Linked DNA regions of Macaca fascicularis. The protein of the gene in region 3 purifies or fractionates together with the protein of the main gene of each other region. This does not show direct contact. Links are inferred from orthologs where the notes say so. Each region holds a gene or a part of one and is shown on either strand. Other genes may lie near its edges. The genes, in order: EMD, tubulin alpha-1A chain, LRRK2, CDC37, DNM1L, RPL23 and SSR4.

Region 1 (3,981 bases), on a different chromosome or scaffold from region 3:
ACGGCGCCCTCTGCCCGCGCCCACTGGCGTGCCCGTCGGCATGCCCGGGCCCCTTCGAAGGCTGCTTGCTTCTGGAGTGCCAGCGGCCTCCTGGCCCAGTGCCCCATTTCCTCCCGGGTAGAGTGAGGGAGGAGGAAGGGAAGCAGAGAGGTAGGCGGTGGGAAGCAGCAGGCACATGTGCGCGGGCGAGAGCCCTGCAGACTGGGAAGAAGGGCCCGTGGCAGGGGGTCTGCGGAGATCCCATAGGCGCGGGCCTTGCCCCGCAGCCGCTTCCCGAGCAATGCGCACACAAAGCGCCCCCGGCAGTGCCTGGCCCCGGGCCCGCGCTCTCTTAGGGTCCGCTGCCGGGGCGGCCGACCGGGATGCGGCCGGGAAACCCTAGGCTCTGGGGCCCAGGAAAGGGGGGCGACGGCGGGGAGCAGGGATGTGCAGGGACCGGGCGAAGTCCAAGTGACTTAGGGACCAGAGCCACCCCAAGCGCCGACTTCGCCCGCTCGCACGTCCCGGGTCCCTAGCGCGCAGGCCCCATCCCTCTCACCCGGCTGGCTCAAGCGCGCCACAGGGTGACGTCTTGGCTCCCAGCCGTGTCGCCCTCACTCCCGCGCGGGCCCCGCCCCCTGCCGCTAGCCAATCTGTGCGTTTGTGACTTTTGGGCCCGCAGCCCCGCCTACTCCCACTGCGATACCAGTTTGCATTGCCCTGACTCCCGCGCGGGCCCCGCCGCCTACGCCGCTAGCCAATCCGTGCGTTAGTGACGTGTGGCGCCCCTCGCGGCGCGGCTTGCTCCCACCGCGAGACCTTCTGCCCCGCGCCCGCGCGGGCCCCGCCTCCTCCATCGCTAGCCAATCCCCATGTTTGTGACGTAAGGGCTCTCCGCTCCGCTCGCTCCCAACGCAAGACCTTTTGCTCCGCGCCTGCGCGGGCCCCGCCCCCTCCATCACTAGCCAATTCCCGTGTTTGTGACATATGGGCTTGCGGCCCCGCCCGCTCCCACCGCGAGACCGGTTCCCACCACCCTGACTCCCGGGGGCCCGCCCTCTCTGCCGCTAGCCAATCCGTGAGTTGATGACGTTTGGGCTCGCGGCCCCAGCCTCCCAGCTCTCAAGGCCCGGCCGGTCTGTGCCGGCTACTCCCGCCGTTTGGTCCCGCCCAGCGCAGCGCGCGCAGCCTGCGGAGCCAGCGGCCGTGACGCGACAGCGATTCGGCTGTGACGCGAGTGCGGCCGCTCCCGATGCACTCGTGCCGCCCCCGCCGTGCTCCTAGGCAGCCGTTGCTCGGCCGGTTTTGGTAGGCCCGGGCCGCCGCCAGGCCTCCGCCCGAGCCCGCACCCGCCATGGACGACTACGCAGATCTTTCAAATACCGAGCTGACCGCCTTGCTGCGCCGGTACAACATCCCGCACGGGCCTGTAGTAGGTACGCGGCGGCGGGCGGGACCCCTTCCGGGCCCCCTCCTCGTGCTCCGCCCCGCGACCTCCCCGCTGCCCTCCCCGCGCCCCTTCCCCGGACTGCGGCCCTGACCGCCCCGTGTCCGGCCAGGATCAACTCGTAGGCTTTACGAGCAGAAGATCTTCGAGTATGAGACCCAGAGGCGGCGGCTCTCGCCCCCCGGCTCGTCCGCTGCCTCCTCTTATCGCTTCTCTGGTGAGAGCCTCGCCTGTGGGGACGGCCTGGGACGCGGGGAGGATGAGGTAGCGAGGGTGTGGCAGGGGTGCCGGTCGAGAGCGGCACTGGGGAAAGGGGAGGGAAGCCTTGGGGTGGGGGTGGGGGGGCAAACAGTTCTGTCTCCTCCTTTCAATCCAGAGTTGAATTCGACGTCAGGGGATTCAGATATGTATGATCTTCCCAAGAAAGAGGACGCCTTACTCTACCAGAGCAAGGGTAAGGCAGGGGTTGGGTGGGCACGCTGGCACCTTCACCCGACTGCGTCAGGGACCCCGCTCACAGGGAGGACCTGAGACCTCAGTCCCAACCACTCCAGCAGCCTTAGGAGGGAGAAACTGTCACAGGTCCCGAAATGGGATTCAGATTAGGGCCATCGGGCCAGGCGGGGCACACCGATGCCCCCTCTGCTACCGCTGCCCCCCTTCCCAAGGCTACAATGACGACTACTATGAAGAGAGCTACTTCACTACCAGGACTTATGGGGAGCCCGAGTCTGCGGGCCCGTCCAGGGGCTTCCGCCAGTCTGTGACTTCACTCCCAGATGCTGACACTTTCCACCACCAGGTGAGCTGGCTGGCAGGCGTACTGTACTTGGGTACAACCTAGGGGATCGCGGCTGTGTTTGGATAAATCCAGGGGGCCACTGGGTACAAATGGTGGCCCTTGGGCCTCTGGGGAGACTTTGGCTCAGCAGACACCTGTTTGGTCAGGGTCCTACTTTGGGGAGCCCTCAGAACTATGTGACTAGAGCACATAGGATGCGTCCTGCACCCTGGTCTGGGATCTAGGCTCCAGCTCTTCCTGAGAGTCCTGGGGGCAAAGGGGGATGCTGGGGCATGAGCACAAGTAGCAAGGCCCCATGGATAAAAGGCCGAACACCCAGAGTCATTCAGGAGGGTGTGGGTCCCTGGCCTTTAACCAAAGGTCAGAGGGGACCTGCTGGGGAAATTTGAGAGGGACGTGGCAGGGCCATTGTGGCCCTGCCAGCCAGTTCCCTCACCTTGACTCTCTTCTACAGGTACGTGATGACGACCTTTTGTCGTCTTCTGAAGAGGAGTGCAAGGATAGGTATGTATGTATGGGGAAGGCCAGGGACAGGGGCTGGTTCTGGACCCAGGCTCCTGGCCCACCTGCTCCCCTCTTTTGCCTCAGGGAACGCCCCATGTACGGCCGGGACAGTGCCTACCAGAGCATCACGCACTACCGCCCTGTTTCAGCCTCCAGGAGCTCCCTGGACCTGTCCTATTATCCTACTTCCTCCTCCACCTCTTCTATGTCCTCATCATCTTCCTCTTCATGGCTCACCCGCCGTGCCATCCGGCCTGAAAACCATGCTCCTGGGGCTGGGCTGGGCCAGGATCACCAGGTCCCACTCTGGGGCCAGCTGCTGCTTTTCCTGGTCTTTGTGATCGTCCTCTTTTTCATTTACTACTTCATGCAGGCTGAGGAAGGCAACCCTTTCCAGAGGGAGCCATGAGGGTCTGGGCTTCAGAGCCAGGTCTTCTGGGGAAGTCCTGGCTGACTGCCTTAGCAGTGGGGGTGGGGGTGGGTGTGGGGGCAGGGGCAGGGGCAGGGGCTTTTATGTGTTCTTGCTTGGGGGGCGCTGGGCCTAGCCCAGAGTAGTGCTTGCTCCCCCTGCCTTGTCCCACCAGGGAGGCAGCAGATTCAGGCCCTCCATGGGGGCCTGAGTGTGCTTTCCTCGGCAGCCTCCTGGCCCTGCTTGCCTGTAACCCTTAGGGTCCAGGAGGGCAAGGCCTCGCTCAGTCAGAGGAGAACATGGTTCTTGTTGTCATGCATGCCTCCTTTTTGTCATCTTGTTGGGGGGGATTAACCAAAGGCCACCCTTTGTTTTCGTGGACACACAATAAAAACCCCATTTATTTTTAATGCGTTGGCTCTTCCTGGAGGAGAGGGTTGGGCTCCCATGGCAAGGGCCTCTGCGTCTTGGGACTCGAGGATTGCAATCTGGCTTTGTTGGGTCCGCATTTTTGCTTTGGTCTGGGGATAGGAATCAAATGCTACCCAGAGATGTTTGTGTTTTGTTTGGGAGTTTTATTCCCTAACTCATTCCCCAAAGCACCTGTAACTGCTTATACATATAATTGTGGTACAACAAGGCGTATACAGAGAACCCACTTAGAAATTCAGGCAAAGCAGCCGGGCGCAGTGGCTCAAGCCTGTAATCCCAGCACTTTGGGAGGCCGAGGCGGGCGGATCACGAGGTCAGGAGATTGAGACCATACTGGCTAACACAGTGAAACCCCGTCTCTACTAAAAATACAAAAAAGTAGCCAGGCGAGGTGGTGGGCGCCTGTAG
Region 2 (2,017 bases), about 9.2 Mb from region 3:
GTAAGCTGGTATGTTTCTTTTCAAGAATAAAGTAAATTAATGAGCCTAAAGAACACATTTGAAATACTGCTTTTTTTTTTTTTCAAACAGAATTGAACTGTTATTTTAATAAAGAGTGGAATGAGTCGTTCTTGTGGGGTTTTTATCAGTTAAAATGAACTATTTGGTATCATTTTGTAAATGTTAATGAGAATTTTTTAAAAAGCATTTGTCAAAATAAGATCTAAATCCTGGGAGATGTATGAAAAGTGAAAATATATTTCCTATGATTGTACTACAAAGAACAAAAACTTAACCTTTCCTCTGTTTCTCTCTTTTGTAATAGGCTGACCAGTGCACCGGTCTTCAGGGCTTCTTGGTTTTCCACAGCTTTGGTGGGGGAACTGGTTCTGGGTTCACCTCCCTGCTCATGGAACGTCTCTCAGTTGATTATGGCAAGAAGTCCAAGCTGGAGTTCTCCATTTACCCAGCGCCCCAGGTTTCCACAGCTGTAGTTGAGCCCTACAACTCCATCCTCACCACCCACACCACCCTGGAGCACTCTGATTGTGCCTTCATGGTAGACAATGAGGCCATCTATGACATCTGTCGTAGAAACCTTGATATTGAGCGTCCAACCTATACTAACCTGAATAGGTTAATAGGTCAAATTGTGTCCTCCATCACTGCTTCCCTGAGATTTGATGGAGCCCTGAATGTTGACCTGACAGAATTCCAGACCAACCTGGTGCCCTACCCCCGCATCCACTTCCCTCTGGCCACATACGCCCCTGTCATCTCTGCTGAGAAAGCCTACCATGAACAGCTTTCTGTAGCAGAGATCACCAATGCTTGCTTTGAGCCAGCCAACCAGATGGTGAAATGTGACCCTCGCCATGGTAAATACATGGCTTGCTGCCTGTTGTACCGTGGTGATGTGGTTCCCAAAGATGTCAATGCTGCCATTGCCACCATCAAGACCAAGCGTACCATCCAGTTTGTGGATTGGTGCCCCACTGGCTTCAAGGTTGGCATCAACTACCAGCCTCCCACTGTGGTGCCTGGTGGAGACCTGGCCAAGGTTCAGAGAGCTGTGTGCATGCTGAGCAACACCACAGCCATTGCTGAGGCCTGGGCTCGCCTGGACCACAAGTTTGACCTGATGTATGCCAAGCGTGCCTTTGTTCACTGGTATGTGGGTGAGGGGATGGAGGAAGGCGAGTTTTCAGAGGCCCGTGAAGACATGGCTGCCCTTGAGAAGGATTATGAGGAGGTTGGTGTGGATTCTGTTGAAGGAGAGGGTGAGGAAGAAGGAGAGGAATACTAAAGTTAAAATGTCACAAAGGTGCTGCTTTTACAGGGAAGCTTATTCTGTTTTAAACGTTGAAAAGTTGTGGTCTGCTCAGTTAATTTGTATGTAGCAGTGTATGCTCTTATATACAATTACTGACCTATGCTCTAAAACATGAATGCTTTGTTACAGACCCAAGCTGTCCATTTCTGTGATGGGTTTTGAATAAAGTATTCCCTGTCTTAAATGAATTCAGTCCTGTGTTTTCTATCTGGGTGTCTGAAATTTTATTTAGTGCATTGAGAATAAAGAATAAGTGTTGCCTGTGGTTTATACATATCCTATGACGTGACGTTTGTGTTTTAAAGTATCTTAGGAATTTAAAACTTTTATTTGTGAAACATAAAATGTATATCTAAAGATTACCATCACAGAGCATCACGTACTTTTTTTCTTTTTTTTTTTTTTGTGAGATGGAGTCTTGCTCTGTTGCCCAGGCTGGAGTGCAGTGGTGTGATCTGGGCTCACTGCAACCTCCATCTCCTGGGTTCAAGAGCTTCTCCTGCCTCAGCCTCCCAAGTAGCTGGGATTATAGGCATCCACCACCAATCTAATTTTTGTATTTTTAGTGGAGACTGGGTTTCACCATGATGGTCAGGCTGGTCTCAAACTCCTGACTTCCAGTGATCCGCTCGCCTCGGCCTCCCAAAGTGCTGGGATTACAGGTGTGAACCACTGTTCCCGGCT
Region 3 (3,500 bases):
GATTTTACCAAATATTATCAACCACACTAAAATGTCTAGCAAAATATATGCATTAACAGTACTCTGAAAGACATGTACATTATTAGTTATATGAGCTATGCAGTCTTTTGGATATTATATTTTAGACTAGTGTGACATGCAAAAGAACTCACCTAAATCTTAAGTGTACTTTTCAATAGTTTATTATTTTATTTTTATATTTCAAATACTAGGTTTCTTCAGCAGCGGTTAAAAAAGGCTGTGCCCTATAACCGAATGAAACTTATGGTTGTTGGAAATACTGGGAGTGGTAAAACCACCTTGTTGCAGCAATTAATGAAAACCAAGAAATCAGATCTTGGAATGCAAAGTGCCACAGTTGGCATAGATGTGAAAGACTGGCCTATCCAAATAAGAGGCAAAAGAAAGAGAGATCTCGTTCTGAATGTGTGGGATTTTGCAGGTATTTCTTTCTATAGAATTTTAAAATTCACTTTTACCATTTGTTTTGAACAGGGATTCAAAAACTGAACTTTCTGTTCTAATATCCAGAAACCTGGTATACTGTATAGAATTATTCCAAAGCCCTTTACTTCTCCTAATTTTACCCTTGCCTCCAGAATGGAGGAGAACATGGAGGGATATGTTGGTAACAATACGGTGCTAGGTATTTTGATCGGTTGGTGCCATATATGCTAAAAGTGGTCAATCTCTTGTAAAAACCCAGAATAGTTCTCTAAACATTATCTGTTGTTTTTCTCTTATTAGTATGCTAAATAAAAAATAGTATTATTCCCCCAGATATTTTTTTAAAAAGAGTTCTTGCCTGTTGTTTGAAAGATTTAAAAAATTTGTCTCTAATCTTTATTTAGGTCGTGAAGAATTCTATAGCACTCATCCTCATTTTATGACGCAGCGAGCATTGTACCTTGCTGTCTATGACCTTAGCAAAGGACAGGCTGAAGTTGATGCCATGAAGCCTTGGCTCTTCAATATAAAGGTGATTTATTCTGATCTTTTGAAAATAGAAAATAGTGTGTGTGTGTGTGTGTGTGTGTGTGTGTGTACACGTTAATTTATTTTGGGCAAACAGTTGCTTCAGTCTCTTTAAATACTTTCTTAAAAGAAGCACTAAAGTTTTGAGTTGGGAAACTTTCAGAGTAATTAAATCATAACATGAAAATGGTATGTTCCATATTGGTGAATGTTATTGATAACCCGAAATTCTTTTATGCTGTGAAACTTGAAAATATATATGTTCAACTGTTTTTTTAATCATATTATTTCTTAAATGAAATCTAAATTTTTCTAATTTAAAATAAGCTATATTAAAGAAAAGCAATCTATATATATCATCAACTTCGTACTCAGGGGCCATTTAGTGTGAAATCCTTCAGATTGTATCCTTTAAGTGGTCCCAGATTATTATGCTGTTATGTCTGGAATCTCCCTTTTGTTGCTTTTGTATCTTTTCCTTTGTTGTCTTGTTGTCAGCTATGCCTTCAAACACTGTGGCTTTTAAGAATTGAGACTAAAATGCTGCTTGCATGATGCTGCAATGAGCTCTTCTGTGAGCAAAGTCCTTAAAAAGGCTTGTGTCAGGATATTCAACCATGTCATTTGGCTGCATACATGCTTGTTTTGTAATTTGGGTGTTTTTTAATGTTTCTTTTATTAACTTTTTTACAGCTAGCCAACATGAGCAAATATTACAGTGGCAGTCATACTTGCTTGAATGGCTTTTATTCTTTCATTGTAGACTCCAAATTGAATGACTTTAAAATGAATTTAGAAGATTAAATTCACAGATAAGGAAGAGAAAATATACATGATATGACGTTAATTTGATATAATTTGTGGATTTATGAAATGCTTGTTTTATTTAGGAGTGGATAACTCATCTTAAGGCATGAAGATGAGAAAGGAAAACTATGCTACTACCATTATATAGGCTACCTAAAAGGGATAAAAACTGGATTAAGGAAAGCCTAAAAATGATTTTTTAAAATGTCGAGGTTACGTTGTTTTCTTAGGTTTAAGGAAAAAAGGACAGTTGTTCTTTTCTTCTTCTGAAGTCTGTTAGTTTCTCTTTTCCACTCAAGTGAATGTCATGGAAAGCAAATATCAACAGGAATGTGAGCAGGCCCAATTTGAAAGCAAACACAAGAGGGTTTTGTGTCTTTCCCTCCAGGCTCGCGCTTCTTCTTCCCCTGTAATTCTCGTTGGCACACATTTGGATGTTTCTGATGAGAGGCAGCGCAAAGCCTGCATAGGTAAAATCACCAAGGAACTCCTGAATAAGCGAGGGTTCCCTGCTATACGAGATTACCACTTTGTGAATGCCACCGAGGAATCTGATGCTTTGGCAAAACTTCGGAAAACCATCATATACGAGAGCCTTAATTTCAAGGTAACATGGTAGGCTGGTAGAGAAATGTAATTTATTAATTCTCATGTTATGCAACTGTCTAGAAATGTCAGAAATTTTGAGAAGTGAGCAACTCACTTAAAATTGTGGGGTTTCTTTCCCCGTTGCTGTTAGCATTGTTAAAGTCTTTTCCATTTTAAAATTATTTATACCAGACTTCATTTCTAATTCATAGAAATGGGAATAAAAAATAATTAGAGGACTCTGAGAGAAACTAAGAGAACATTTCTGGGATACTGAGAAAATGTTTCTGAGAGAGAATCTGAGAAAATGTTTTTGATGTCTTTTCTCATCCAACTTCTTGTAGTGGTGGTTCAGTCCAAGGGTAAAGGTGAATACTGAGGTCTTGGGATCATCTTTCTTCTATTATTCTTTGACTGTTATTTTTCCATTTGCTCCTTTCATTTGCAATTCCTATTTTATGGACATCTTGATCCTTTGTGCCACTCCTTCATGTATTTTGTCACGGTGATTCCCATTCCAATTTTTTTCCCCTCTGTATTGTGAGGCAGCTGTTTTATTTAGTCATGAAGACCACTGACTTGGTTTTCGGTAGTATCTCACTAATTACTTAGTTCATACAAAATGGACTTTTTATTTTAGGAATTATGTTTTAAATGTTTAAAATTCTCTTCTGGTAAGCCAAATCTTTATAAAGCATAAATAAATCAGTTATCAGAGACAACCCTCTTTTTTTAATACTTGCAGGAAAAAGAAATATTCACTGGGATCTACAGGGAGTGTGGTGTAAACTGTACTGAAAAATACCCTTGATAGTTCCATATGACAAATATAATGATGAATTTCACTTAGTCCCTCTTGGCTTAGCTCATTAGCACTAATGATCAAGATCCTGGCTGATAAATAGAGTCCTATTTCGCCTGGGCAGTACCAGCGTAATTATTAATAGTGTCCCACTATATTCTCAAAAGCATTCCAATTTGGATGATAAATTATATAGTCACCTTGGTTATAACTCCGCGTTGGCCAGTTAGCTTACATAATCCATTTATATAGATTATGTGTGCTTCTCTGCAAAACCTAATGAGCCATTTGTAAAAGTGATGGATTTTGCGGTGTCCGGGGAGAGAAT
Region 4 (4,259 bases), on a different chromosome or scaffold from region 3:
CACCGCAGCTCGCAGCCCCAAGCTTACCTTGCGGGGGGGCTGGGGAGGGGATGCCCCGCCCTCTCTGGCCTGGGGGGCGGGAGGGGACGGGGGTGTCCAGACCCTTTGTTTGCTGGTGTGTGTGTATGTGTGTGTGCGATTGTGAGAGCCGCCGGGGTGTGGGTCCGTGCGCGCGCGTGCCCGGGCCGTGACAGCCACTGATGTGCTGGACTGCCAGGGTAGAGGTGAAGAGGGAGGGGGAGGAGATGGGGACTCCTCCGCCCCTGGCCGCCCACTCGCGGGTTTGAATGAAGCGCGAGGGGGAGGGGCGGCAGCGGGAGGGCGTTTTTGTCCGATGGCCCCTCCCCCTCCATGCACTGGGGAATTCCCCCCATCTGGAGACTTTCGCTCGCTCTCTCCGGGCACCGCCTGCGACGTCGGCTCCAGGGGAGACTGGGAAGAGGCGCCCCTCACCCGAGTGGCTGGAGCTCCTCCTATCCAGCCTGACCCCCGATGGAGCACCCTTTAATCTAAAATAATCCTGGCCCGAGACTGCAACGCGGCCTATTATCCTGGTATAAAAGCGTGGATTGGGATGCGTGGAAGTGTGAGGCCAGGGCCCTGCATGCTTAGAGTAATGGAGTCCTTAGAGCCCCGGCGGAGGAAGGGTACCCCCAGACAAACGGGGAGGGACTATGCGTGACCCCAGACTGTGACGAAAAGGAAAGCCCCCTTCCACCCCTCCAAGATTCCCCCACCAAGCGCGGGACCAGGAATACGCGCCGTAGGCTAGACTCTAGCGACACCCAGCGGTCACGCGGGGTGGGGCGCCGAGACCCGTTATGGGGGGTCCGGGTGATTCCAAAGTGTGTGTGTGTGTGTGTGTGTGTGTATGTGCGCGCGCGCGAGTCCTTGCTGCTAATGGCCGGAGCTGGAGGACGAGGAGAAGGCTCCCAAGGCAGAGCCACAATCTCCCCTCTATGTTTAACCCCTCAAGGGGAGGGCCATACCACCCTCTATTTAGACACCCCCAGGGCAGGTCCAGTCCTCCTCGGGCTGAGAAAGTCCCAGGAGTCGTCAGGCGCCCCTCTCCAGAGCAGGCTTAGGTCCCCGTTTACGAAGGGCAGGGGGAGGGCCTTCCCGCCGTGTCCGTACCCCTTGCAGACGTCACTGCGGCGTAGCTGAGGGGACAGTCCTCTTAGTCTCATCAACCGTCCTCTCCCTGCCACCCCAAACGCCCACCGTGGAGAGGCGGGAGATGAGGGGGGCTAGGAGTTGAAGTGCCCACTCGTATGCCCCCAGGAGACCTAGCGGAGCCCCTGCGCCCGATAAGGTGGAGTCTCTGCGGGAACTTCAGGGGACTGGAACGCTTGCGCAAGGCCCTTTAAGGCAGAATGGGTAGCCAGTGCCGCTGCCGCGGTTACTAGGGATGTGACGTCAGGCATGGGCGGGGTTTCCCCCGCACTCGGGCGGAAGCGGAAGGGGCGGGGCTCCGCGCACCAAGTCTCCAGCGCCGCCGCCGTCGCCGCCAACCGAGCCGTAGCGGGCTGGGCCGCCAAGGCAAGATGGTGGACTACAGCGTGTGGGACCACATTGAGGTGTCTGATGATGAAGACGAGACGCACCCCAACATCGACACGGCCAGCCTCTTCCGCTGGCGGCATCAGGTAAGGCGCGCGCGCCCATCCCTTTCCCCACTCCCGGACCCCGCTCCAGAGTTGTGGTCCCCGATACTGCCCAGGGACCCCACTGTTCACACCTAGGATTCTCACCCCCTCAGTCTGGACTTTCAGGAGCCTCGATTCAACTCCAGGACCCCAGTACCACTGGTACCCTGAGTCCCTGCTCGGGATCTCCCCCCAACCCCCTGCTCCGATTTTTGCGTGGGATTCCCTATTCACCCCCTAGAACTTCTTCAGTCTGGACTGCCTTAGACGAGTCTCCCTAATTCTGTTCGGAGTTAACATTTACACCCAGAACTCTGCCTCAAAGTTTGGTCCCCAAATTCTTCTAGATGATCCCTCATCCTATTCGGGTATCCACTCCCTATCTGGGATCTCACGTCGCCCTCCCCCACCTCCGTAGTCTGGACCCCCAATACTTTGGTCTGTCCTGGGATCTACTTTCCGGGATCTTGATCCGGGGTTCCCATTCAGATCCGGAGTCGCCACTCCTTTTCTAAACGGTACAAGGAACTCTGTGCTACTCTGATATTCCTGTCCCTGCCCACACCCGGGACCCCCTTCCTAGAGTGTAGAGCCGTCCCCCTTCAGGATCCTTAGTCTCACCGAGGACTTCGGTTGTGGAACCTGGTTCCCCTCTGGATCTAACTACCAGCTCCACCCCGACAGAGCCTCACATTCCAGCCTCTCCTTTGGCCTCGGGTAGACCCATTTCCCATTAGACCAGGAAATCCTGCCCACGTGGCTTCCGGCCCAGCCAGAGCCCCTGCCCCTACTTGGTATTGCAGACCCTGTCACCACCCACCTCCCAGACTGGCTTCCTGTATGAGCCTTGGCCAGCATTGGAAACTCCCCTAACTCAAGCCCAGGACCCCAAACCCACCCCACCTTGTGTCCCCAACCTGATCGCTACTCTGTGACCCAAATTGTCCCTGCTCTTTTCCAGGGACTCCTGGTCTGATTCTAAATTCACTACCCCTTCTTCTATCGGACCACAACAGAACCCCCAAATCCAGACCCCAGAATCCCAAGTCTGAGTGATCCATGTCCTACCACCCCCTCAGTGCTCACAAGCCAATGGGGTGACTAAGACTTAAAGGTTTAACCTCCTGCTACCCCAAATCACATATCAGTGTCTGTTGTACTCTTTTTTTTTTGAGATGGAGTTTCCTTGTCGCCCAGGCTGGAGTTCAGTGGCACAATCTTGGCTCACTGCAACCTCTGCTTCCCGGGTTCAAGCAATTCTCCTGCCTCAGCCTCCTGAATAGCTAGGATTACAGGCATGCGGCACCACGCCTGGCTAGTTTTGTATCTTTAGTAGAGACGGGGTTTCTCCATGTTGGTCAGGCTGGTCTCGAACTCCTGACCTCAGGCGATCCACCCACCTCGGCCTCCCAGAGTGCTGGGATTACAGGCGTGAGCCACTGCACCCAGCCATGTTGTACTCTTAAACTAAGGGCATATACCTTTCAGAACCTTCTAGTGAGGATCTCTTACCCCACCCTCTCATAGGACAACTCCCCATCATTTATCCAAGAAACAACTAGAAGTTCCCTTCCCCATCATTTTGGAATACTCCAGAATACGGCATTAGTCTCTTTATCTAGCTCCCAGTCCCACCTCCAGACCTCTTCCTTAAATCCTGAGTCTCCTGGGTAGTGTACCTGCCAAGCGAGCCACTGGAGTGTGGGAAGAAAGTTCTAGCGCTTCTATTTCTTGCCGTGTGTAACATTTTATTATGAAATATTTAAGACTTCCACAAAGCTCCAAAGACTATTCTTGGGAAGACCTATTTCTGTCACATAAAGAGGTTAATCTTTACTACTGTGGAGAATGGTTTGGTCCTGCCGAGTGGGAGGGCCCCCCTCCTGCAGCGTAGCGTACCTGCCACACCCTCCTCCCTCTGGCACGGAGCTTTTCCTGTCCTACCGCTGAGAACCCGGTGGTTGTAGTGGCACGTAAGGGAGGCAGGGGGCTTCAGCGTCTCCAGCACAGGTTCAAGGACAGGCAAGCTTGCGTTCCAATCCTAGTCCTGCCTCTTGCTGCTTCTTTCTTTCTTTGATGTGGCAAGACTCAGGCCTCCCTGATCCCGTATGAAACCTGGGATACTATGACCCCACCTCCCTGAGACTTTTGTAAGAATAAATTAAGATTGGGCAGGAAAACTTGGGGCAGGTTTGGAAGGAAGCATTGTGGAGGGGAAGGAGAGATCGCTGTGGTTCTGAGCACAGGCCTGACTAGGTTCAAATCTCAGCTCTGTCTGTGTCACTCACATGCTGCGTGAGTGCCAGGGAATTGTTTGATTGCTCTGTGCCTGAGCACCTGAGAATCTGAATGATGTCCACCCCATAGGGTTGTTGTAAGGGTTACCTTATTCGTTTAATATTTGTAATCCTTTTGGGGCAGTAGCTATTACCGTCATCATCATTTAAATAATTTTTGTGAATGGTTAAAAAAAAATTCCACAGCCACATGTGGGGACACATGCCTATAGTCCTAGCTACTCAGGAGGCTGAGGCAGAAGGATCATTTGAGCCCAGAAGTTCAAGTCCAGCCTGAGCAACATAGCAAGACCTTGTCTGTCTTTCTTTTTTCTTT
Region 5 (3,500 bases), about 11 Mb from region 3:
AAGTGCTTTGGCACCTGCCTCCCAGGAGCCCTCCCCCGCTGCTTCTGCTGAGGCTGATGGCAAGGTCTGTTCTGATTCTTAATCTAAGCCTGCATGCCTAGTTCTTTGGTACAACATAATCTTCTGGAAACAATACACTGAATAGAAGAATATTAATATGGGATACCATGCTAAGGTCAGATCACTTTAGTCTAATATATATTTTAAAATTATATAACAATGCAATGCAGAGTTTATATTGTTGACATGCTTTTGCTTGCAATATAGAAGATGCACACAGAAAAAGAAGTAATTTAAAGAGGAGATTATCCTGCACTTTTAAAATTTCAACCCATTGGTATTTAAATTTTGCTTGTTAAATTGCATGTTTTAACATATCTTTCAACAGTTAATTCAGGACAGCAGAAGAGAAACTAAAAATGTGAGTCTCTTGCTTCAGAATGGAAATGTTGGTACCTCTGGTTCTCACTGAAACACTGTCTGTAACACCATTAAATAACCTGTTTGTGTAGTGGTATCTATCTCTTGTCTGTGTTATGTTCTTAATGTTCCTTTTATCTAACCGGTGGAAGATGGCGTTAAACGTTTTAATTAGTAACAATAATAGGCTTTCTCACTGTTTTCTGTGACCTTCAAGAATAGTTTTAAATTTTGATAGGAAATTTAACATATTTTGATAGGAAATTCAGAGATTTCCTAGATTTCAGAGATGGAATTGTATTTTTGGACATTTCCTTTCCTCTTTAAAGATCTTGAGATCTGTTCAGTACTAAAAGATAATCCTCTAATCTAATGCTTCTTTCTCATGCTTCCAGTTAGTTTGCACTTGTTACCCTATATATAGCTTCACATATGCTTCAGAAGCTTAAGCAAATTAAAAACAAACAGGGGGACTGTGAGAGTTTGAGACTGTTTTCAATTCTTAATAACAATTTTAGAGGAAAATTAAATAATGTATAAATTATTCAGACTCATTGCTATTTCAAGATTTTCTGCCATTTAGTTCCTTTCCTTAATTATCCAGATTTAAAGTTCTGAACTTGAGATAAAGGTTTATAAATGTCTTATCTTCTCTCAGCTCCACTGTGCTCAGATATTAAGCAAACCATCTAAATCACTGCACAAGTTTTATTTCATTCATGACATCACACTGAATGTGCTCACTCTCCTTAAGATTTCATTTGGTATGTCATTCATGTATAAAAACCTAATTACTCATTTTTAAGTTAATGTGTAATATAAATATACTAATATTTATAGTTCACCTTAACTGACATATTAAAGACAGATTTAAGCAAGTATTTCGATTCAGAATGCTACCCCAAACTACCATTTTTCTTACTGCCATAATCCTCTATTAAATTTATATAATCCATTTTTAGATTGTAAGCTCTTAAAGAATAACTAAAAAAAAAAAACCCTCTTAAATGTTGATGAATTATGTTTTTCCATTATAAAGTCATTTTTGACTTTTAGAAGTCAAGATTAATAAATTTTCTAGAAAATAAGGTGTAAAAGCACTTGTGATTAATGTGATAGCACTAGATTTCTTTCTGCAAATCCTTAAGAGTACAGAGGTTGAGGGGATTTCTGTTGTGTTTATCACATTCCACATTTGAAAGAACTCATAGTGACTGTCAGCCTACGAAAAGCAAATGTAGTCTTGTTTTCTGTTAAAGAGTTCCTACTGATACCTTATGGCATTTTGTTGACTATAGGAATGTAAATTGACTTGAAATACATAAACTCTTAACTTCAGAGACATAAGTTCATGGAACTTTTAGAGTTTAACAGTGTTTATGATTACTTAAATTAAACTGAATGGCAGTTCTTTGTGCTTTTAACGAGTAGTTTTGATTTTAAGGGCAGCATATACTTTTTCTACAATTTAGTGTTTGAAGGGTGGGAGAAGAGGAATGATTTTGAAAAGTTGGCGAGCAAATGATAAAGAAAAAAGGAATTAAATAGAACATAAATTGGTTGATGCCTTGCAAACAATTTACAGCAGAACCTCTTATTTAGTTAGGTCAGGGTTTCAGTTATACATGCTACCTACTGTCTCCTTCTGACCTCATTATCTGTATGAATAAACTTCAGATGGGTACTGGATGTATACTGACTACTGTCAAATAAAACGAACTTCGTTTTAGTTAAGGTCAGATATGATGTGGTTGGTATAGGTTTTGGAACATGTTTTTTCAGGTTGCATCTGGAGGTGGTGGGGTTGGAGATGGTGTTCAAGAACCAACAACAGGCAATTGGAGAGGAATGCTGAAAACTTCAAAAGCTGAAGAGTTATTAGCAGAAGAAAAATCAAAACCCATTCCAATTATGCCAGCCAGTCCACAAAAAGGTCATGCTGTGAATCTGCTGGATGTGGTAAGCCATGACACTTTGGTTTAGGTCTAATAAGATGACCAAGTTAGTAGGAAATTGATTAGACAGAAAGAACTAAAGTCTCAAAAACTTACATAACTTTCAGATGTTAAATGCTGCCATTTCAAAGTGTCACAAAAGTAACATTTTTCCCCCCTCATCCCTATTTAGCCAGTTCCTGTTGCACGGAAACTATCCGCTCGGGAACAGCGAGATTGTGAGGTTATTGAACGACTCATTAAATCATATTTTCTTATTGTCAGAAAGAATATTCAAGACAGGTTAGTATTACTTAATATAAATCACAGGCTCTAATACTGCTGGATGATTCTATGATCTGTTTTGAAAAATACATGTATTTTTTAAATTTTAGGTTTTTATTCTAAATCATCGAGTGGATTCTCTGATAGTCCTTTGGTAACTTGTAGCAAGACTCAGTTTGTTAACACAGAATGACTAGGACCTCATGTATCAGCTAGAAAAAGCTATTAAAATGAATCTTTTGTTCTATATGGCTGCCACATTTTGAGTCATTTAAGAAAATGTTTTTTTCCTAAATTTTAATTCAGTAGTTTCATTAACTATTTTGGCTAGTAACACTGACTTGCCTTTTTAATTTAACTTGGTTTTCCAAAGCATCAAAACGAATGTCTTTTACTAAGAAATATGTATACGGTTTCTCGTTCAGAGTGTTTTTGCATGTGTCTACTCCCCTACTGCATCTTCTCCTTCATGTTGCCTGGTATGTCATTTCATGCAGTAATAGGGAGAATACACATTTAGTTGTATGAAGTGATCTATTAGAAAATATTCTGTATCCAGTTTTTGGTAATCTGTCAGCAGCTAAGATGAATTTTACTGCACAGAGTAATAAATATACTTCATATTGAAATAAATGATTTTGTCTGTAGAACCATTTATCTTTTTTGCTTGTAGACTTTTTAAACCTGTAGCTTGTGGTAGAAATAATAGTTCCTAGTGTTTTACACTGTGGGCCTGAAGAAAAAATTCCATTTGTCTCCTTCATTGCCCCCATCCCCTGCAGAGGGTGTTTTTGTTTTGAGATGGAGTCTCGCTTTGTCGCCCAGGCTGGCGTGCAGTGGCATAGTCTTGGCCCACTTCAA
Region 6 (4,100 bases), on a different chromosome or scaffold from region 3:
TGTATTTTTAGTAGAGACGGGGTTTCACTGTGTTGGCCAGGCTTGTCTCAATCTCCTGACCTCGTGATCCACCCGCCTCGGCCTCCCAAAGTGCTGGGATTACAAGCGTGAGCCACCAGGCCCGGCCACTATTTGTATTTTACACTTGATCTTGGCCAAAAGGCCAAGAAGCGATACTATTTATATTTTTATAATACTTATCCCCATCTAACATACTACATACTGCAATTATTTATTATATCTTTTGTTTAGTGTCTAATATCCTCCTCCACCTGCACCCCAGCAGAATGTAAGCTCCATAAGGACAACAATATTGATCTATTTTGTTGTCTGATGTAATCCGCTGTACGCCCTGGACAGAACCTGCTACAAAGTAGGAGCTCAGTAAGTATTTGAATGAATGCATCGTGGCACGGGAAGAACCCAGAAGAAAGGGGCGGCTGAAGCTGTGAAAGGAGCAAGTGGCCTGGCGCGGGGGCTCACGCCTGCAATCCCAGCACTTTGAGAGGCCAAGGCGGGCAGATCACTTGAGGTTAGAAATTCGAGACCAGCCTGGCCAACATGGCGAAACCCCATCTCTACTAAAAATACAAAAATTAGCCCAGCGTTGTGGTGGGCGCCTGTGGTCTCAGCTACTCTGAGGCTGAGACAGAGAACTGCTTGAACCCGGGAGACGGAGGTTGCAGCGAGCTGAGAGCGCGCCACTATACTCCAGCCTGGGCAAGAGCGAGACTCCGTCTCAAAAAAAAGAAAACAAAAAACAAAAAACAACTGTGTGTGTGTGTGGGGGGGGGGGGGGGGCGGGTCAATAAACAGAGCAATACTGTATATGTAAAATACAGAATGGTATGGTACCAAGAACACATAGATGGAATGATCTGTAGCACTTCTCAATTGTATTACATTGAACGAAACCGTTTGGAGCTGGTTCTCCCCCCTCCCCCACTGTCTTTGTTTCTTTGGGAACCCCCACACGGCACAAACCGTGTTTTAATTCCTATTCTCTAGTGTGCTGATAAGTGCCTGGCACGTATTAAGTTGTCAAAAGAGGTCGTGAGCAAGTTAACAAATCACTGCTTCCATGTCCCTAACTACTCTTAAGCTCCTGGAGAAGAGATTTCCTATCTCTTGCGCTTCTACTTCAACGCCCACTTCAGAGAGGGCTCAAAGTAACGTCGTGAACTTAATACGCAATAAGGCAGCGCCCAGAGGCGGAAGAGGCAGAGTTTTTAGCTCCGGCCACGTGACGAAGGTGGGCGGGGCGTCAAAGTTCATATCCCAGCGTCCTTTGAATCAACTTCCTTTTTTCTTTTTTCCGGCGTTCAAGATGTCGAAGCGAGGTGAGGTTTTGCTTCTGGAGGATCCTCCACCATCTGTCGTGCAGTGGCTGGCGGATTCGTCAGGAGCGGTGGCCCTAGGCAGCTGGGGCGCTTTGCTCTCCTTCAGGCCGGAGAGGGAGAGCCAGGCCATCGCAAGAGCACTGCCAGGGCCCTCGAAAGTGGCAGTGGGGTGCTGGAGAGTTGACATAGCAGGATCCCGACATGAATATAGTCTGGATCCCGCGAGATCGCTCTGCGAATAGGGCTATCGTATTGGGGTTGAAGTTAGACTGGATTAGGCCCTGGTTTGCGCGACCTCTGCGGTCTTATGCTTTGCAGGAGCAATTGCGTTTTGCGAAAGTTGGAACAAGGGCTGAGTCGTCTAGGTTCCTTAATTTCGATGTCAGAGTGGTAATAGTGAGAAATAGGCTACTTTCCGTGAGAATCGGGTGGCACACGGGGAGGGCATAAGTAAAATCCGAGCGAGCTAATCTATAGCATACCATCTGTCAAAGTATGTGCGGTGAATTACAGTTTAAGAGTATGAGAGGGAACTGCGAACCATGTCTAGATAGTGATCTCTTTATCCTGTTTACCTTCCCTTTATATCCACAGGACGTGGTGGGTCCTCTGGTGCGAAATTCCGGATTTCCTTGGGTCTTCCGGTAGGAGCTGTGATCAATTGTGCTGACAACACAGGTGAGGTCTTTGACTGCAGGTTTCTATACTCCCCCTTTTAAAAGCACTCAATGGGCCTGTGCCTAATGACCTATTGAGCCGTCAAGAAAGGGGAGAGTGAAAACATCGCTTTTGGGTGAAGTGGCAACATGTTGTGTTGTTTGCTTCAATCGGTGGTGTGACAAGGCGTTCTTGAGGACTAACTGCTTGGGCAGTCAGTGGAGGGAGGGACTTTGGAAGTGTTTGGGAAATGTAATACTGATGGAACGGCCTGATGGGCCCTCAACATTTTTCATTTTTATTTACATTGATTTGTAGGAGCCAAAAACCTGTATATCATCTCCGTGAAGGGGATCAAGGGACGGCTGAACAGACTTCCCGCTGCTGGTGTGGGTGACATGGTGATGGCCACAGTCAAGAAAGGCAAACCAGAGCTCAGAAAAAAGGGTGAGTAAACACTGAGCCCACCTTAACACTGATAAGTAGTGGGGGGACTCTTTCCTTTATTGGAAAATGGATCAGTTTTCAAGGCCTCAAGGTTGTTTTCCATTGAGAGGCAATGTGAGATAAGTATCTTAAGTTTTTGTTCATATTATGTTGGAGGGGGGACCATCATCTTGTCATTTCCATACTTTAGATTTATTTATTTATTTATTTTTTGAGATGGGGTCTCCCTCTGTCGCTCAGCCCACACTGGAGAGTGCAATGGCACGATCTTGGCTGACTGCAACCTCTCTGCCTCCTGGGTTCTCAAAAAAAAAAAAAAAAAAATTAGAAAATGAAAACGAGAAGCTGCTCATTATTTTATTTTTATTTATTTATTTTTGAGATGTAATCTCACTCTGTTGCCCAGGCTGCAGTGCAGTGGCACATATCTTTCTGTTCACTGCAACCTCCACTTCCCAGGCTCAAGTGATTGCCCTGCCTCAGCCTCCCGAGGAGCTGGGATCATAGGTGTGCGCCACCACACCCAGCTAATTGCTCATTACTTAATCTCAGGCTACCCCCTCATAAGTTTTCCTGTCAGCTGTATGATTTAAAGGGGGAGGCCTCAAAATACTTGCAGTTTGTGTCCTGTCCGGCTTTAGAACTTCTGGTATTTGATGCATTTTAACTTCAGCTCTTGCAGTTTTTTCCTGTGCCTGCCTAGTCTGTCTCTACCCTGGGATGTCTTGCTCTTCTAAAGAGTTCATGGCCATCCCTTGAGTTACAAATATGATGTTGATTTGTTAGCCATGTGTTACAGTTACTCCTATTCCTGTATCCACTCCACGATGCTCTCCAGTAGATTTTTAACCTTTGGGTTAGAAATCTTTTTTTGTTTACCATTAATAGCCACTTGAGGGCTTGGTAGCACTGTGCTTGTGATTCAGCAATTGCATGGGCTTTTTCCTCTTCTCAGAACACTTCCTGGGTCTGATTGGTGGCCCAGGGAGCTGTTAGAGAAGAGCAGAGCAAATGGCCATCACTTTGTAGATGAGATGGCAGGAGAGTGGATTGTTGGTCTCAGTCAGTGGTGGGACAGACCAGAGCTCAGAACACTTCAGTTTTAAAACGAGCTGTGAGTATCCAATTCTGTTAATGTCTTTTTTGGTCCTTGTTTCTGCTAAATGAATACATCCCCTCCCCTTGGAACTTAATAAATAACAAGCACAGAAATGTGCAAAAGGGCCAGGTCTATTTGTCTACTTGATGAATTTGTGAGCATTTAATGGTTTATAAGTAGAGGAGGGTCAGTAAGTATTGGCTGCCTCATGTGTGTCCCATTGCTAACTTGGTTAGACTTATCTATTTTTTGTATAGTCTTCCTGTCATTATAAAAATTCTGTGTAAGGACCCCACGCTAGTATCAGTGAAGATTTGAATCCAGGTGTGTCTGACTCTACAATAGTTCTTCACAAGCATTATATTTTACTGTGTAGTGATACTTGATTTTGAAAGTTGGGAAAAGCATCTTTTTCACTTTAGTACAGATGGGTGTAAAAGTTACTTATGACACTGGAAAGTAAAACTTTAAAAGTAAAACATAAAGCCTGGTGTTTGGGCCCTGGAATTCCAACTGTTTTCCAGTATAAATCTGAATAGCTTGGTCTCTGCTCATTG
Region 7 (4,204 bases), on a different chromosome or scaffold from region 3:
CAGGAGCCCAGTTGCTAGAGCCATCAGAGCCTCTGGAAAGCCACTATATGCTGCCGTCCTTTCAGCAGCAAGGTAGGAGAAGTCGGCATTGTCAAGAGAATTTCATTAGGCACAAGCATCTCCCCCAGAGGCCAGAAAGAGAAAACAGCAAGTAGAGGTGTCCCTGGTGAGTGGCAACAAAATCACGGAGTTCTGGAAGGTCAGAGTTGACAGGATCCTTTGAAAACATGAAGTCTCCCCTCTGGGTTCCAAAGGGGAAACTGTAACCCAGAGAGAGGAGAAACTGGCCTAAGGCCACGCACTGGGTCAGTGGGGGAGCATGGCCTAGAGGCCAAACCTCTTACCCATCAGGGCCAGCTGCTTCAGATGGTTTCCAGCCCACCTAGGACCTAAATTAACCTCTTCTTAAATAAGCGTAAGGAAAAAGGACTCAGACCTGAATACGCAAGACCGCAGACCAAGAAGAGCAGAAGCAAAACCCCCGCAGCCTGAGAAACCCTAGCTCCTTCCCATTCCAGGCGCCTCGGGGGGAAGGCATCTGGGGCTCTAAGACTGTGGGAGGATGGGGTATGACTGGCAAAGTCCGGTTCTTTGCCACCGGGACAAGTGGCAAAGCGGTCAACGAGACGGGAACCCATGGAGAAATTTGAGTCCCGGAACCGGATTCCCGAAGCGGTTTGAGAAAGGCGGGCCGGGATACGTGAGTGACTGCGTCAAAGGGCTCTTTCAAGGACAGTAAGGAGGTGACAGCCGCCGTGGCCCACTCTCCCGGCCCGTCCGGAACCCCCCCCCCCGCCACCCGATGCAGACGCCCTGGGGGAGCCGGCCCAGGGCCAACTTCGGCCAATCCCCTCAGTGACAGCGGAGGCGGCCAATCAACCCCGGCGCGCAGCCCTCTCCTAGCCAATCGGACTCCAGACTGCTTCGGGAGCGGCTACCCCACCGCTCCCCTGCGAGCGCTGCCGCGGCCCCGTGGCCCTTTCCCTGCTCACCTCCCAGGGACGGCAGAGAAGGGCTGGCCTGAGCACTGCCTTCGCAGCGCCGCCGGCGACCGTCGCTACCTTCAGCGCCATGACGGAAAGTGAGAGCCTCCGCACGTCCCGTCACGCAGACACCGCTCTCGCGAGAGTTCCACGGGGTGCGAAGTTTCGGGGACCGGCGCGGGCCCGGTACTGCGCACGCGCGCGGTCTCACCGATTCCCACGCCCCCTTCCGGCGCCTAGAGCGCCGCTGCCGCCATGTTGATGGGGGATCGCGACCAGCTGGGCCCCTGTCTCGGGGAGGGGCCACGTCAGTGCTGCCAGAGACGTCACAATGCCGGCCCGGCCCTTCGGTGCACGATTGGCTGCCGCTGTCACTTACGCGTCGCTCTTCCTCGTTTGCCCCTCGTGTTCATGGGAGCTCGTTTTCTTTTCCTCTAGGCAGAGAAGAGGCGATGGCGGCGATGGCATATCTCGGCGCCCTGGCGCTGCTCCTGCTGTCCAGCCTCTCCCGCTGCTCAGGTAGCGGCCCAGTCGGGGCTTCTTTCTGGCGAGCCTCTGACCCACCCCACGTGGTGTTGAGGGGAGGAGGGATGCGGGGGTCTGGCTTTTCGGGGTCCGTCGCTGAGAGCCGGGCCTTCCTCCGAGAGGCAGGCGGCCTTGGGACGCGGGGACCAAAGCACCTCGGGCACGTTTACCGGCAGCCAGGCTTTTCCTTGTCTGCCCATACGAAGAGGAGTCCCGGAGCCTCCACCGTGCGCCCGGCCCCCAGCTCCAGCACGGAACGTGACACATGTCCCCGCTCCCGCTCCCCGCGGGGTCGGACCAGAACGAAGCTCTGTAGTGCTGAGCGATCGCGGTCAAAAACGGGGCTGGAGGAACCACATAAGCTAGGAAGGGACCTCAGTGAGGAGAGGGAGCAAGAACGGGGCGAGTTAGATGGGGAGCCAGAGGTGCGCAGGACCTTGAGTGCCAGGCCGAAGACTGGCCTTTCCGGAGGGCCCTGCCTTACCCTTACCAGAGTTTTCGGCAGAGCCTACCAGGGGTCCCGTCGATTTGCGTTCATGAGGGTCTGAGGCTCCAGAGTGTGTTTAGGAGGTGGCTGCAGCAGCCAGTCCCGGGCCCGGGGGCCAGGACTGGACAGGGGTGGCTTTCTGCACATTCCCTTTTCTGCCGTCCTTCAGGCCAGTAGCCTTGCTGCCTGCAACGTTTTGCCAGCTTAACTGGCCTCCCTGCCCGCACCCTCTTGTCTGCCCCTCAGGAATTCCCTGAGTTATAGCCAGGGACTTATCCAGAGGACAAGCCTGGCCATAAAACCCTTTCGGGGGCTCCCCTGCGCCACAGGAAGCAGGCCCAACTTAGGCAGGACACAGAAAGGCTGGTAGGATCTGGCCCCTGAGAGCGGCCTCCATGCTGTTCCTACGGATCTGCCTCCTCTGGTCCGGACCCAGAGCCTTCTCTGACGTCCTCTGCTGAAGCCGTCATTCTGCCGGAGCATCACATTTGGACAGCTGGTGACTGAGAACGTTCCCATTTTGGGGAGCCTTTGTTTCACACCCTCTGATGTAGGCGGCAGCCTGTCTTTCCTGTGGGCCTCTGTGGTTATGGAGAAGGCTAAGGCAGAGTCCTTTCTCTCACAGCTGACAAGTTGTGCTTCTGGAAGCAGAGCCTCTCCTGATGACTTCCTCAGGAAACGCTGGGGCAGTGCATTGCCTGCCTGCAGCCCTACCCCTGATGTCTCTGCTGAGGATGCCTTCAGTAACCCGTCCAGGCCGTTTGTGGTTCTGAATGGAGGCTGGCCTGGCCCCCTGGCCTCCGTGTCATAGGTCCAAGCGTTGGCATGTATTGTCCAGTGAATCCAGCGCCCACCTGTCCCCAGCACACGCGTTCGCTCTTCCTGCACACCTCCAGAAAGCCGGCCTTGCCCCTCTCCAGTCTGCTTTCACAGCCATCCCACCTACCTTGCCACTGCATTTGTGACCGAGCACTTGGATCTGTCTGGATCCCACCTGGAAGGGACAGGAGGATCCCGTGCGTCCTCAGCTGATCCGTGCTGTGAGGCAGGGCCCGGCCATCCTGCCCTCAGACTGGGATACTCGAGCTGGCCTTACCCAAGCATCTCTCCCTCTTCCCTGCAGCTGAGGCCTGCCTGGAGCCCCAGATCACCCCTTCCTACTACACCACTTCTGACGCTGTCATTTCCACCGAGACTGTCTTTATTGTGGAGATCTCCCTGACATGCAAGAACAGGGTCCAGGTGAGACAGTGGGGTTTCAGACAGGAGGGCGGGTGGGGGTGCTCCTCACTGCCAGTTGATGGGGGACCCGTGTCAACAGAGATTCCAACTCTTGGGGTGCTGGAGAGATCAGGGCACGGCGATGCCAGATCCTAGCCAGTGTTGACAGGTCACCTTCCTCACCTGCTTTGTGTGCTGTGCCTACACGAGGTAACACTGGGCTCACAACCTGTGTCCCGAATGAGTATCTGAACCGGGAGAAAGGGCAGCCCACCCTCGTTGCCATTGGCCAGTTTGTCTGTGTGGGTGTTTTGTCTTTGTTTTTGTTTTTTGTTTGTTTTGAGACAGGGTCTCACTCTGTTGCCCCGGCTGGAGTGCATTGGCACGATCTTGGCTCATTGCAGCCTCCGCCTCCCGGGTTCAAGAGATTCTCCCCTCAGTCTCCCGAGTAGCTGGGATGACAGGCGCTTACCACCATGCCCAGCTAAGTTTTGTATTTTTTGGTAGAGACAGGATTTCGGGTGTTTTAACTTCAAGATTGAGGAGCCTTGGCCTTGGCCCCTGACCTACGTTCCCAAAAGTCCAAAGAAGGAAATGGGGCCTTTTTTTTGGGTATGGCTCTCTTAGGGTAAAGCACCCCTTGGGCAGCCCACTGGGCATCCCGGACCCCAGCACCTCCCTTGTAGACTCAGGAAAATCACTCGGCCCTTTTGATCATCCCGCCCCTGCTCACAGTCAACAAGGTTCCTATGCGTCCAGTTAGGTCCGACCATGGGGATCTAGCCCTGTGCCTCCGTAGGGAAGACCGATGCAGAGGGCCAGTCACAGGATTGGTGAGTGTTACCTGGAACCTCCTGCCAGGGACACTGCAGCCCCCAACTGGGCCTAGCCTACCCATCTGCAGGCCGTGTGAGCAGCACACAGGGTTCCTCTGCCCACACCCAGAGAAGGCAGAAGGTGACCCTGCCTTTGTCTCCTCACCCAGAAC

Evidence for each region.
Region 1: the proteins of LRRK2 (region 3) and EMD purify together in Homo sapiens (co-immunoprecipitation; 3 studies listed by IntAct). This does not show direct contact. The link is inferred for Macaca fascicularis from reciprocal best matches to the Homo sapiens genes LRRK2 and EMD.
Region 2: the proteins of LRRK2 (region 3) and tubulin alpha-1A chain purify together in Homo sapiens (affinity purification with western blotting; 4 studies listed by BioGRID and IntAct, with this or other methods). This does not show direct contact. The link is inferred for Macaca fascicularis from reciprocal best matches to the Homo sapiens genes LRRK2 and TUBA1A.
Region 4: the proteins of LRRK2 (region 3) and CDC37 purify together in Homo sapiens (co-immunoprecipitation; 8 studies listed by BioGRID and IntAct, with this or other methods). This does not show direct contact. The link is inferred for Macaca fascicularis from reciprocal best matches to the Homo sapiens genes LRRK2 and CDC37.
Region 5: the proteins of LRRK2 (region 3) and DNM1L purify together in Homo sapiens (co-immunoprecipitation; 6 studies listed by BioGRID and IntAct, with this or other methods). This does not show direct contact. The link is inferred for Macaca fascicularis from reciprocal best matches to the Homo sapiens genes LRRK2 and DNM1L.
Region 6: the proteins of LRRK2 (region 3) and RPL23 purify together in Homo sapiens (affinity purification with mass spectrometry; 3 studies listed by BioGRID and IntAct, with this or other methods). This does not show direct contact. The link is inferred for Macaca fascicularis from reciprocal best matches to the Homo sapiens genes LRRK2 and RPL23.
Region 7: the proteins of LRRK2 (region 3) and SSR4 purify together in Homo sapiens (co-immunoprecipitation; 3 studies listed by IntAct, with this or other methods). This does not show direct contact. The link is inferred for Macaca fascicularis from reciprocal best matches to the Homo sapiens genes LRRK2 and SSR4.

The regions. Positions count from the first base shown.
Region 1 is NC_088395.1:160,350,052-160,354,032, reverse strand, and holds EMD (emerin), read left to right. Parts: upstream 1-1,181; 5' UTR 1,182-1,333; coding exon 1,334-1,415; intron 1,416-1,538; coding exon 1,539-1,643; intron 1,644-1,802; coding exon 1,803-1,880; intron 1,881-2,094; coding exon 2,095-2,228; intron 2,229-2,682; coding exon 2,683-2,732; intron 2,733-2,816; coding exon 2,817-3,141; 3' UTR 3,142-3,551; downstream 3,552-3,981. UniProt on the Homo sapiens protein: Stabilizes and promotes the formation of a nuclear actin cortical network. Stimulates actin polymerization in vitro by binding and stabilizing the pointed end of growing filaments. Inhibits beta-catenin activity by preventing its accumulation in the nucleus.
Region 2 is NC_088385.1:55,999,726-56,001,742, reverse strand, and holds the end of tubulin alpha-1A chain, read left to right. Parts: coding exon 1-8; intron 9-325; coding exon 326-1,306; 3' UTR 1,307-1,517; downstream 1,518-2,017. UniProt on the Homo sapiens protein: Tubulin is the major constituent of microtubules, a cylinder consisting of laterally associated linear protofilaments composed of alpha- and beta-tubulin heterodimers.
Region 3 is NC_088385.1:46,790,266-46,793,765, forward strand, and holds part of LRRK2 (leucine-rich repeat serine/threonine-protein kinase 2), read left to right. Parts: intron 1-212; coding exon 213-442; intron 443-851; coding exon 852-979; intron 980-2,170; coding exon 2,171-2,389; intron 2,390-3,500. UniProt on the Homo sapiens protein: Serine/threonine-protein kinase which phosphorylates a broad range of proteins involved in multiple processes such as neuronal plasticity, innate immunity, autophagy, and vesicle trafficking.
Region 4 is NC_088393.1:10,965,632-10,969,890, reverse strand, and holds the start of CDC37 (hsp90 co-chaperone Cdc37), read left to right. Parts: upstream 1-1,459; 5' UTR 1,460-1,544; coding exon 1,545-1,646; intron 1,647-4,259. UniProt on the Homo sapiens protein: Co-chaperone that binds to numerous kinases and promotes their interaction with the Hsp90 complex, resulting in stabilization and promotion of their activity. Inhibits HSP90AA1 ATPase activity.
Region 5 is NC_088385.1:35,334,089-35,337,588, forward strand, and holds part of DNM1L (dynamin-1-like protein), read left to right. Parts: coding exon 1-64; intron 65-388; coding exon 389-421; intron 422-2,202; coding exon 2,203-2,379; intron 2,380-2,547; coding exon 2,548-2,657; intron 2,658-3,500. UniProt on the Homo sapiens protein: Functions in mitochondrial and peroxisomal division.
Region 6 is NC_088390.1:59,850,097-59,854,196, reverse strand, and holds the start of RPL23 (large ribosomal subunit protein uL14), read left to right. Parts: upstream 1-1,300; 5' UTR 1,301-1,327; coding exon 1,328-1,340; intron 1,341-1,934; coding exon 1,935-2,018; intron 2,019-2,049; exon of another isoform or gene 2,050-2,184; intron 2,185-2,315; coding exon 2,316-2,444; intron 2,445-4,100.
Region 7 is NC_088395.1:159,854,312-159,858,515, forward strand, and holds the start of SSR4 (translocon-associated protein subunit delta), read left to right. Parts: upstream 1-1,404; 5' UTR 1,405-1,435; coding exon 1,436-1,502; exon of another isoform or gene 1,503-2,494; intron 2,495-2,620; exon of another isoform or gene 2,621-3,118; coding exon 3,119-3,237; intron 3,238-4,201; coding exon 4,202-4,204. Other genes in the region: IDH3G (isocitrate dehydrogenase [NAD] subunit gamma, mitochondrial), read right to left, coding at 993-1,073. UniProt on the Homo sapiens protein: TRAP proteins are part of a complex whose function is to bind calcium to the ER membrane and thereby regulate the retention of ER resident proteins.